Caenorhabditis elegans: one gene and its partner. Changing the gene in region 1 together with any one later gene gives a genetic interaction. Each region holds a gene or a part of one and is shown in the gene's direction. Other genes may lie near its edges.

The links.
Region 2: of rde-1 (region 1) and hmp-2, a change in one rescues a mutant of the other (synthetic rescue), as found in Caenorhabditis elegans (one study listed by BioGRID).

The regions. Positions count from the first base shown.
Region 1 is NC_003283.11:9,987,397-9,993,486, reverse strand, and holds rde-1 (Piwi domain-containing protein), read left to right. Parts: upstream 1-1,844; 5' UTR 1,845-1,872; coding exon 1,873-1,929; intron 1,930-1,984; coding exon 1,985-2,184; intron 2,185-2,226; coding exon 2,227-2,539; intron 2,540-2,583; coding exon 2,584-2,639; intron 2,640-2,693; coding exon 2,694-2,872; intron 2,873-2,919; coding exon 2,920-3,136; intron 3,137-3,182; coding exon 3,183-3,794; intron 3,795-3,834; coding exon 3,835-3,949; intron 3,950-3,993; coding exon 3,994-4,602; intron 4,603-4,663; coding exon 4,664-5,146; intron 5,147-5,222; coding exon 5,223-5,444; 3' UTR 5,445-5,571; downstream 5,572-6,090. Other genes in the region: trpp-6 (Trafficking protein particle complex subunit 6B), read right to left, coding at 781-849, 895-1,035, 1,084-1,161, 1,211-1,312, 1,357-1,428, 1,485-1,580; MYG1 protein C27H6.8, read left to right, coding at 5,735-5,841, 5,937-6,090.
Region 2 is NC_003279.8:14,736,881-14,743,193, forward strand, and holds hmp-2 (Armadillo/beta-catenin-like repeat protein), read left to right. Parts: upstream 1-2,001; coding exon 2,002-2,057; intron 2,058-2,688; coding exon 2,689-2,750; intron 2,751-2,807; coding exon 2,808-3,470; intron 3,471-3,577; coding exon 3,578-3,742; intron 3,743-4,082; coding exon 4,083-5,074; intron 5,075-5,465; coding exon 5,466-5,642; 3' UTR 5,643-5,776; downstream 5,777-6,313. Other genes in the region: K05C4.7 (Armadillo repeat-containing protein 1), read left to right, coding at 823-915, 966-1,742; K05C4.5 (WD_REPEATS_REGION domain-containing protein), read left to right, coding at 5,885-5,997. UniProt on the Caenorhabditis elegans protein: Required for cell migration during body enclosure and cell shape changes during body elongation. Plays a role in recruitment of the cadherin protein hmr-1 to adherens junctions.

The DNA.
Region 1 (6,090 bases):
TATTTATTGAAAAAATACATTTCAACAAAAACAAAATGTTATTATCAAAATATAAAAACTGTCACCTCAAATTTGACTGCAGCAACGCGCGCGAAATTTTTGCTCTCGATTCCGCATGGCGTAAAAACACCTGTAACCACGGCCCCGCGGGTGGTGACAGAAACCGGAGACGAGAAAATGCGAAGATACAACGCAAAAACTGATGTTTCTAGCGTTTTCTCTTCTCCCGCTTCTGTCATCACCCGCGAGACCGTGGTCCCAACTGTTTTTACGGCATGCGGAATCGAGAGCGAAAATTTCGCGCGCGTTGCTGCAGTCAAATTTGAGGTGACAGTTTTTATATTTTGATAATAACAAATCGTGAGAAGAACTATGAAAAGTCGATGAAAATTCCACGAGTTTTAACTTACAGTAACCTTTGAAGGAGCACGCCCGCTTGTGTTTTTGACGCAAAGAATCGCGACTGTGTAACTACTTGTTTTCGTTATAAAATTATTCTTTTTATTCACTTTTGTATTTAGCATTGGAATGGGACCGGCTGCAGCCTTTATTGGAGCCGAACTTGCTCCACCAAATTTCCAAAAATGCAAAACTAGGTTTTTGGTTTCCTGTAACCAAAATATAGTCTTCGGTGGGAATATATGAACTTTTTCAATTATAATGTTTTCTTCTATTTCTATTACTTCGATGTCATCAAGGTTACCGGTGTTCTTTATTTATTCTCAAAAATTAAATAAACTATATACAAAAATCCATAAATTAATTGACATGTGAAAAATACTATTTTGGTTGAACTTGAATATGAAACTTCACAGAAGGTACACTTTCGATTGTTGGAGTTACAATTGCCTGAAACGAACAAACGTAGATTACGCAAAAAAAGAAAGAACTCACTCTAATATTAAGACCAGCAAGGGCTCCGCGAAGTAAACCACATGGAAAAGCAAGGAAATATCCACTTTCTTTCACGTATTGATCACCTTCGGGAAAACTTCGCAGCGTTGTAAATCTTCCATCTTGAACAACATAGACACCCTGAAAGATATAAGTTTTGGAAATAAAATCGTTTGAAAAATAATATACCTGATGATTTGTGCGGAGATTATCGACTTGCTTGCCAAACACTGATGACCAGAAATCCTTGCAAATGAACTTTACAATCTGATTTTTTTAAATTACAACCGGATAAAACTTGTCACAAAATTCTTACTTCTAACTCAGTGACCAATTTCGGAGACTCTTTTGATACTTTTTCCACGAGCTGCCTTCCAACTCTGAATCCGATCGACTCAAGTTTAGTCTCTGCATTTGCCTGAAGAACACACATTGGAAGACGTATTCTAACATTTAACTTACGTGAAGAAAAGCTTTTTGAACTAAGCTTTCGTACTTTTCAATATCAGCTGGACCATTCAAGTTATCGATAATCTGAAAAGTGATTTCCAATAAAATAAATTGAAACTCAGAAATCAAGAAAAACTCACTGTTCCAAACTTTTCCTTTGCTTCACATCGATCTTTTTCACTTTCCAAAGTTGAACGGATAATTTCCAAATGTAAAATATCAAAAGGAAACGCCATAAAAAATTTCTTGAAGGGAAATAAAAAATAAATAAATTGGAAAGAGTGGTTCTGCAAACACGGGGACGAAGTATTGCGGAGGAAACAGCGCAAATGACGACATTCCTCATGCTAAAAATATTTTCAAAAAACATTTTTTCTCGCTTAAAAATGCCTTGTAACACTGTTCAACTTAATTAGAGATTAAAACTTAACTTTTTCTATCTTCAATTATCAAATATACTTCTTTTTTAATCATAAACGTTGTTTATTGGTAATTTCTAGATAATCAACAGCCACAAAGTGATGAAACATGTCCTCGAATTTTCCCGAATTGGAAAAAGGATTTTATCGTCATTCTCTCGATCCGGTATGATCAATTATTAGCAGCTATAAGATATATAAGTTTGATATTAATATTATAGGAGATGAAATGGCTTGCGAGGCCCACTGGTAAATGCGACGGCAAATTCTATGAGAAGAAAGTACTTCTTTTGGTAAATTGGTTCAAGTTCTCCAGCAAAATTTACGATCGGGAATACTACGAGTATGAAGTGAAAATGACAAAGGAAGTATTGAATAGAAAACCAGGAAAACCTTTCCCAAAAAAGACAGAAATTCCAATGTAAGTGCTTGTAAATTAGTCAAAACTAATTTTATTTTTCAGTCCCGATCGTGCAAAACTCTTCTGGCAACATCTTCGGCATGAGAAGAAGCAGACAGATTTTATTCTCGAAGACTATGTTTTTGATGAAAAGGACACTGTTTATAGTGTTTGTCGACTGAACACTGTCACATCAAAAATGCTGGTTTCGGAGAAAGTAGTAAAAAAGGATTCGGAGAAAAAAGATGAAAAGGATTTGGAGAAAAAAATCTTATACACAATGATACTTACCTATCGTAAAAAATTTCACCTGAACTTTAGTCGAGAAAATCCGGAAAAAGACGAAGAAGCGAATCGGAGTTACAAATTCCTGAAGGTTTATGAAAAACACGCATTATAACAAACAAAATTAGCTTTCAGAATGTTATGACCCAGAAAGTTCGCTACGCGCCTTTTGTGAACGAGGAGATTAAAGTGTGAGTTGCAATAATAATAATAATAATCACCTCAACTCATTTATATATTTTAAGACAATTCGCGAAAAATTTTGTGTACGATAATAATTCAATTCTGCGAGTTCCTGAATCGTTTCACGATCCAAACAGATTCGAACAATCATTAGAAGTAGCACCAAGAATCGAAGCATGGTTTGGAATTTACATTGGAATCAAAGAATTGTTCGATGGTGAACCTGTGCTCAATTTTGCAAGTAAGTTTGAGAAACTGCGATAAAAAATCATGTGATTTTTGTTGAAGTTGTCGATAAACTATTCTACAATGCACCGAAAATGTCTCTTCTGGATTATCTTCTCCTAATTGTCGACCCCCAGTCGTGTAACGATGATGTACGAAAAGATCTTAAAACAAAACTGATGGCGGGAAAAATGACAATCAGACAAGCCGCGCGGCCAAGAATTCGACAATTATTGGAAAATTTGAAGCTGAAATGCGCAGAAGTTTGGGATAACGAAATGTTAGTTTAAATTATTCAAACAATTAATATACAAATTGATTTTCAGGTCGAGATTGACAGAACGACATCTGACATTTCTAGATTTGTGCGAGGAAAACTCTCTTGTTTATAAAGTCACTGGTAAATCGGACAGAGGAAGAAATGCAAAAAAGTACGATACTACATTGTTCAAAATCTATGAGGAAAACAAAAAGTTCATTGAGTTTCCCCACCTACCACTAGTCAAAGTTAAAAGTGGAGCAAAAGAATACGCTGTACCAATGGAACATCTTGAAGTTCATGAGAAGCCACAAAGATACAAGAATCGAATTGATCTGGTGATGCAAGACAAGTTTCTAAAGCGAGCTACACGAAAACCTCACGACTACAAAGAAAATACCCTAAAAATGCTGAAAGAATTGGATTTCTCTTCTGAAGAGCTAAATTTTGTTGAAAGATTTGGATTATGCTCCAAACTTCAGATGATCGAATGTCCAGGAAAGGTTTTGAAAGAGCCAATGCTTGTGAATAGTGTAAATGAACAAATTAAAATGACACCAGTGATTCGTGGATTTCAAGAAAAACAATTGAATGTGGTTCCCGAAAAAGAACTTTGCTGTGCTGTTTTTGTAGTCAACGAAACAGCGGGAAATCCATGCTTAGAAGAGAACGACGTTGTGTAAGTGTTTTCTACGTAGATTATTCCGAAATATTTTCAGTAAGTTCTACACCGAACTAATTGGTGGTTGCAAGTTCCGTGGAATACGAATTGGTGCCAATGAAAACAGAGGAGCGCAATCTATTATGTACGACGCGACGAAAAATGAATATGCCGTAAGTTTCAGAAAATTGAAAGTTTTTAAATATCATATTTACAGTTCTACAAAAATTGTACACTAAATACCGGAATCGGTAGATTTGAAATAGCCGCAACAGAAGCGAAGAATATGTTTGAACGTCTTCCCGATAAAGAACAAAAAGTCTTAATGTTCATTATCATTTCCAAACGACAACTGAATGCTTACGGTTTTGTGAAACATTATTGCGATCACACCATCGGTGTAGCTAATCAGCATATTACTTCTGAAACAGTCACAAAAGCTTTGGCATCACTAAGGCACGAGAAAGGATCAAAACGAATTTTCTATCAAATTGCATTGAAAATCAACGCGAAATTAGGAGGTATTAACCAGGAGCTTGACTGGTCAGAAATTGCAGAAATATCACCAGAAGAAAAAGAAAGACGGAAAACAATGCCATTAACTATGTATGTTGGAATTGATGTAACTCATCCAACCTCCTACAGTGGAATTGATTATTCTATAGCGGCTGTAGTAGCGAGTATCAATCCAGGTGGAACTATCTATCGAAATATGATTGTGACTCAAGAAGAATGTCGTCCCGGTGAGCGTGCAGTGGCTCATGGACGGGAAAGAACAGATATTTTGGAAGCAAAGTTCGTGAAATTGCTCAGAGAATTCGCAGAAGTGAGTTGTCTTGAGTATTTAAAAGATCTCTGGGATTTTTAATTTTTTTGTAAACTTTCAGAACAACGACAATCGAGCACCAGCGCATATTGTAGTCTATCGAGACGGAGTTAGCGATTCGGAGATGCTACGTGTTAGTCATGATGAGCTTCGATCTTTAAAAAGCGAAGTAAAACAATTCATGTCGGAACGGGATGGAGAAGATCCAGAGCCGAAGTACACGTTCATTGTGATTCAGAAAAGACACAATACACGATTGCTTCGAAGAATGGAAAAAGATAAGCCAGTGGTCAATAAAGATCTTACTCCTGCTGAAACAGATGTCGCTGTTGCTGCTGTTAAACAATGGGAGGAGGATATGAAAGAAAGCAAAGAAACTGGAATTGTGAACCCATCATCCGGAACAACTGTGGATAAACTTATCGTTTCGAAATACAAATTCGATTTTTTCTTGGCATCTCATCATGGTGTCCTTGGTACATCTCGTCCAGGACATTACACTGTTATGTATGACGATAAAGGAATGAGCCAAGATGAAGTCTATGTAAGCGTTTTGAATAGCAGTTAGCGATTTTAGGATTTTGTAATCCGCATATAGTTATTATAAAAAAATGTTTCAGAAAATGACCTACGGACTTGCTTTTCTCTCTGCTAGATGTCGAAAACCCATCTCGTTGCCTGTTCCGGTTCATTATGCTCATTTATCATGTGAAAAAGCGAAAGAGCTTTATCGAACTTACAAGGAACATTACATCGGTGACTATGCACAGCCACGGACTCGACACGAAATGGAACATTTTCTCCAAACTAACGTGAAGTACCCTGGAATGTCGTTCGCATAACATTTTGCAAAAGTGTCGCCCGTTTCAATCAAATTTTTCAATTGTAGATATTGTACTTACTTTTTTTTAAAGCCCGGTTTCAAAAATTCATTCCATGACTAACGTTTTCATAAATTACTTGAAATTTATTCTGTGTTTATTATTTATTACCTCTAAATTTCGTTTTGAACGTGAGCATCATATCTTAAACTACTTATTGATAACGGTTTCATAAAGATAGGTAATTTGATTTTTAAAATGTTTTCTCTCTGCAGGTGATTTCACGACTTCTTGGACAGTTCGGTCACAAGATGACATCGCTCATTGGTACTCACTCCGGAAAATTCCATTGCGATGAGGCTTTTGCTTGTTTCATGCTGAAACAATTGCCACAATTCAAGGATCATTCGATTTTAAGGTAATTCGATTTTTCATGTTTATCAAGTTTGCGAAATGACCCACTTTTTTATTAGGATTTATTTTATAGCTGAGTTCTGAAATCTGTAATTTCAGAACCCGTGACGCTGCTCAACTGGAGAAGTGTGATATTATCGTCGATGTCGGTGGAATCTTTGATCATTCAAAACAACGATACGATCATCATCAACGTGGATTCACTGATACCATGCGTACTCTAGAGAAGCTTAACTTTGATACAAAACTAAGC
Region 2 (6,313 bases), on another chromosome or scaffold:
GCTTCTGGCGTCACATCAGTTATCAGGAGAGAAGCTTGAAACAAATGCAACCGAAGAAGACATGAAAATTTCCTTTTTTTTTACTGTTACAATACCTATTTCGTAAATTATATATATATATATATATATATCTCGTTATCTCTCCTTATATTATTTAATCCCAACATTGTATTCAGTTTCATTGGCTTAGCAAGTTTTCGATTGAAAATTTTTTTTTTCAGCCAAATACCGATTTTTCATATTTTTTTCGCATTTTTGATTGATGTTTCTGTGATTATTGGTTTTCCTATGTTGTTTTAAAAGGGTTTGTAATGTATCTTCGCTGAAATGTTTGTTTCATATTCAAAAACGGCAATGTTTCCACTTTCCCACTCGGTATCTTTTAGTTTTCAGGCTGCAGCTTCAAAAAATTGAAAATGGCGAAAATTTTAGGGTGGAATTTGTTTTCTTTTTTTTTTTCATATTTTACATAATACTATTTTCGTAATTTATTTTTTTCCCTCAAAATGTGCATGATGCGTTAAATTTTTTTTGGCATAGACTTCGCGTCCCAAATGGCGAGTAATAATTATTGAGAAGGAAAACTGTGTGCGAGCCCTTTGCAAAATGTGTGCGCACCACTTGCGGTATGCCTCATCGTGTGACTCCGCCCACATTTTCTTTTGTTTCCATTTTCTCTTTTCCCCTCAATTTATCGATTTTTATCCACTTTTTGTTTTTCACATTTAGAATTGAGTATTTCATCGCTATTCTGGTTGTTTGCGTTAAAGTTTGTCGTTCAAAATCGAAATTTTCGTTAAAAATCAAGGTTTTTATTTCAGAATGACTGAAGTCGTAAATGCCGACAAAATAAAAACGATTCGCGCGTACTACAAGCTGTGCCAAAAGCCGGAGAATCGAGCAGTCGTGCTTAAGGTAAGTCGTTAGCTCACTCAGGATTCACATGAAAATTAAATTTCTTCCAGGACAAAACATTTTTCCACACTCTCCCAACGCTCCTCAAGGACGAAAGCTCCGATGTCATCAGATACACGGTTAAAATCCTCGTTTTGCTCACAGAGCAGTCGGGGAACATCGAGCAACTGCTGAAATCCGCAGATTTACTTCCAGCATTGTCGGAAGCCTGCGAAAATATCACAAATCCCAGTGTCAACTATAACTTGGTCCTTGTCTCGAGTAGGATTCGAGTAGTGAAGAATTCGCTGGATGCCAAAAGAGCCGAGAAAGAGCCTCTAGCCGATGCGATCAAAGAGCTCGACAAGGGCGGAACTCTTCACCGAAAATTCGTTGGAAGAAAGTCAAAGCAGATTATTATGGAATTCGATGCGGAGGAATTCGATGAAACGAAGAAGCTGTCAGTTGAGAGAGGCCTTCTGAAGAAAAAAGGAGTAATCAGTGTATATATAACCGAGCAGAACTCAATTCCACGCGCCGTGCTCCGCACAATCCCGACAATCGAAGCCAAGGACATTGCGCAGTCCGTTTTCGCCGCCGCCGGATTCGAGTACGTCGCGCAGTTAGTGAAAGTGAACGGAATCGACGAGAAATTCGAGTTTTACGCGTCAGAGATGGGCAAAATCACGGAAAACTCGAAAGATTACCCCGAATATTTGGATGATGATGTGCTTCACGTGGATCCGGCAAGTTGTGTGATAACTAATGAGATGGCTGCCCATGGAAGTGGTCAAGAGGGCGGATGGTTCAGTTCGATCACTTCATTCGTCAAAACTTCCCTCTGGTGATGGAAGGAATTCTCGGATTATCTCGGAAAATCTCGAAAAAAAATGTATTAAAGTACTACGGTTTCTTCTTTGTTATCTCAATATTTTCTTTTTTCTCCTGTTTCTCGTTTTTTTTGAGATCTCTTTCTGGTATTATCACCGCACAGGCATATAAATCGTTTCACACTGGTTTTTAAATCCTCGTATTCTTGATTTTTATGTGTTTTTAAGCTGTTTTAACCAGCTCTAATTATCTATTCGGCAGTTTCAGATTCGAAAAATGCGATTATTCTCATATTTGGACGGTTGCGGTACCAAAAATAGAGGAATTTATCGGTATAAAATATCCTTAAAAATCCAAAGTCCTAGTGAAAATCTTGTTTTTGCGTTTTCATCTAGTTTCCGATTCGAAAAAACCCATTTTTCTAAATTTTCTACCTGAAACCACGTATTTTGACAGTTGCAACACCAAAAATAGAATAATTTTCCTTTAAAATCGCCACAGAAGCACAAATTCCAAGTGATAATCTTTATTTTGCGTTTTCAGCTAGTTTCCGATTCAAAAAATGCGATTTTTCTCGATTTTCTACCTGAAACCTCGTATTTTGACGATTGCAGTATCAAAATAGTGGAATGTTTTTCAAAATAGCCATAAAAGTAAAAATTCCTTTTTAGCTAGTATCTGATTCGAAAAATGCGATTATTCCTCAATTTTCAACTAGAAATCCTATTTTTTTTTAAATTTTCTACTCTAAATTTCGATTTTTCGCACTTTTCCACTCGAAATAAATTTATTAAATTTAAATTTAATTTTAAAAAAATCTTAGTTTTTGTGGATTTTTCCTGTTTAAAATGACTTTTCTCTGCTCCCACATGAAATTTGATAGTTTCAGCACCTAAAATATCGAATTTCTTTGCATTTTCTCGTCTAAAACTCACCATTTCCTTTAAAAAGTATAATTTTCAGTAGCTGTGAACTCCCAACAACCATGCTTCTTCACTCTACCAACTCTTATTCGATATTCACTGGTAAAACACAAAAAAATACAATTTTTTCGAAATTTCTTCATTTAAATTAATTTCCAGACCATGAAGTCGAAACTCGAACCTCTAGAATCCGCTCAGCGATGTTCCCCGACTGGATTCCACCAACTTCTGCTGCAGAAGCCACAAATTCAACTACAAGCATCGTCGAAATGATGCAAATGCCAACTCAACAGCTGAAGCAATCAGTTATGGATCTTCTAACCTACGAAGGATCAAACGATATGTCAGGACTCTCGCTTCCGGATCTAGTGAAGCTTATGTGCGATCATGATGAGTCAGTGGTTGCTAGAGCTGTTCATCGAGCTTATATGCTCTCAAGGGAAGATCCGAACTTCTTCAATGCGCCGGGATTCGATCATCGATCTTTTGTGGAAGCTCTGATGGCTGCGTCGAAGAGTTCCAACGTGAATGTCCGTCGGAATGCGATTGGAGCATTGTCTCACATGTCTGAGCAACGTGGAGGACCTCTTCTGATCTTCAGAAGCGGAGGGCTTGCTGAAATCATTCGAATGCTCTATGATTCACTGGAATCAGTTGTTCACTATGCTGTGACAACACTTCGGAACCTTCTGATGCATGTTTCTGATTCCAGAGCTCAAGCGAGAGCTCTCAACGCCGTTGAGGCGCTAACTCCGCACCTTCATAAGACGAATCCGAAGCTGCTGGCTCAAGTGGCGGATGGGTTGTATTTCCTGTTGATCGGTAAGGATTCACTGGAAAAATCAAGAATTTTGTACAAATTTGCATTTTTTAAAGCTATAAATTCAAATTTTCCACTCTAAAATTTCAAAAATCGGTCAATTTTGCAGACGATGCTCCATCGAAGATCACATTCCTATCACTGTTGGGACCACAGATCTTGGTTTCGATTCTTCGCGAGTACTCGGATCATCGGAAGCTCATCTATACCGTCGTCCGTTGCATTCGATCCCTGTCCGTTTGTCCGAGCAACAAACCGGCGTTGATCAGTCTTGGTACATGGATGTTTTGATTAAAAACTATTTTATATCGCATTTTTAGAGATATTTTCAGGTTTTTATCCACTGAAAAGCTGGAAATTTGAGATTTTTAGCTGAAAATACTTGAAATTCGCAGCTATTTCGAGTGTTTTGAAGCAATTTTTAAACATTTTCCTTTATCTTTCACGAAATTCCAACAAATTTCAAAATTTTTGTTCCGGTGGTTCAAAGTTTCGCTGAAACCTCCAATTTTACCCTCTTTCAGCAGGAAATTACTTTGAAATTGCGCGTTTTTTGAGAATTTTCCAATAAAAAAGTTCAGAAATTTAAACTTTTCAATATTAATTTTTTCTAGGCTGCCTTCCTGCTCTCTACGTGGAGCTCTGCACCGCAAAAGACGAGCGATCCCAGACGGCGATTCTAGTGGCGATGAGAAATCTGTCGGATTCTGCGACAAACGAGGAAAATCTCACTCAACTGATCATCAAGCTTCTCGAAATCATTCGTGTCGCCAACGATGGAATGACTGCCTGCGCGTGTGGAACATTGAGCAATCTCACCTGCAATAACACTAGAAACAAGCAAACCGTGTGTTCTCACGGGGGAATCGATGCTCTCGTCACCGCGATCCGCCGACTACCTGAAGTTGAAGAAGTCACCGAACCGGCTCTCTGTGCTCTTCGGCACTGTACTGCCAGGCACTCACTGGCTGAAGAAGCTCAAAGTGAGCTGAGATTCTGTCAAGCATTCCCAGTGATTTTGGATCAGCTGGAAACTCTTCGTACTCCAGTTATCAAGGCAGCTCTCGGAGTTATTAGAAATAGTGCACTTCTTCAAACAAATCTTATCGAGTTGACACAAGAACAAACTGCAAATGGGCATACAGCTGTGTCACTGACAATGGATATCTTGAGAAGAGCTATCACGGCGATTGAGGAGAATCCTGATATTGCTGTAGATGGAGTTCCAATGTGGGGAGTCATCGAAGGAGCTGTCTCGGCTCTTCATCAGCTCGCGAATCATCCGGCAGTCGCTGCAGCATGCTGTGATGATATTGGACAAGTCGGAAATCCAGAATGTCCACCATTCTTGGATCTTCTCCATCGTCTTCTGGCTCATCCGAGACTCGGATCCATGGATGATGAAGTTCTCGAACGCGAGATTCTTGGGCTTCTCTATCAGTTGAGCAAGCGGCCAGACGGAGCCCGTGCTGTTGAGAGTACTGGAGTTAGTGCTCTTTTAATGGAATCTCGTGGCTCACAGTACAAATCAGTCGTCACTTATGCGAATGGAGTGTTGAGTAATTTGAAGAGAGGAGATTCAGCTGCCATCATGAATATGTCTAATGTGAGGAATTAGGAAAAAAAATAAATTTTCCGTAAAAAAACCGAAAAATCGAAAGAAAACTTTTGAGCCACCACGGATTTAAGATATTGTGGGATTCCGGATCGTTGAAAAAATGTGTTCTATGTGTTGGCACGGTGATCCGGAAATGGTAGATCTAGAATCCCACCGGATCTTGAATCCGTGGGGCCTCAAAGTTTTTTAAAAATTCAATGTTTTAATGAAATATTGTCCATATGGACAAATGTTGATGAGAAAAACCATATAATTTTGTTCTAAAAACAAGGAAAATAGTTCAAATTTTCAGCTTTTTTTCGAAAAATAGAAAAAAAAATTTCAACATAAATTTCCGATTTTCGAGCGAGCCATTCATGAATTAATTCCGAATTTTCAGTCGTACGACTACGAGATGAGTGGAAGTGCTGCGGATTGGCAACGTGATGGGCTGGAACGAGAGCTTTTCGCTGAAATGTATCCGACAAACGACGGCGGACACTCGGAATCCATTAATATGGCGTTGAACAACTCACAAATGCGCCCTAATCACAATTGGTACGATACCGATTTGTAATTAATTTATCTTCTCGTATTTTTGCATTTTTTACACATAATCTGCTGAATATATCCACTGGGAATTATTATTCATGGTTTTAAATTTAATTTTTGATACTTTCAATATATTTATATTATAAATGTAATTTTATACTTCCTACTATCTAATGTTATACGTATCTTTTTTTTGGTTCTTCGGTTCCTTTTTCCTATATTTTTTCAAAAAAAAAATTTCAGACAATTTAAACGAAAAATTTCCAGATGAGTATCTGCCTTGAAAAGCAGAAAATCCGATGCGGAATGATAAGCCGGACGGCTCGACACATTGCCATCGATGAGAATAGTGGAAAAATGGCAATTGTGAGGAAATCTAGGTTTGTACGGAGGATTTATTGGAAAAAATGATTTTTGAAATTAAAAATTAAAGGTGGAGTAGAGTCAAAACAAATTTTTTGCTTAAAATGACAGAAAATATACCCAAATAACCGATTATAACTGAAAAAATGTTCTAAATTTTTTATGATTTTTCAATTTTTCAAAAATTGAATTCCCGCGAAAATAAGTGACGTAATTTGTTTATATTCTCGCGTTTTCTGGCTAAATTCTTTGGTTTTTCTTGATTTTTCTTACACATATTTAGTTTTAAACTCTGTTTCTCAAATTTTCAGGTACTTTTCCGTGAATAAAACT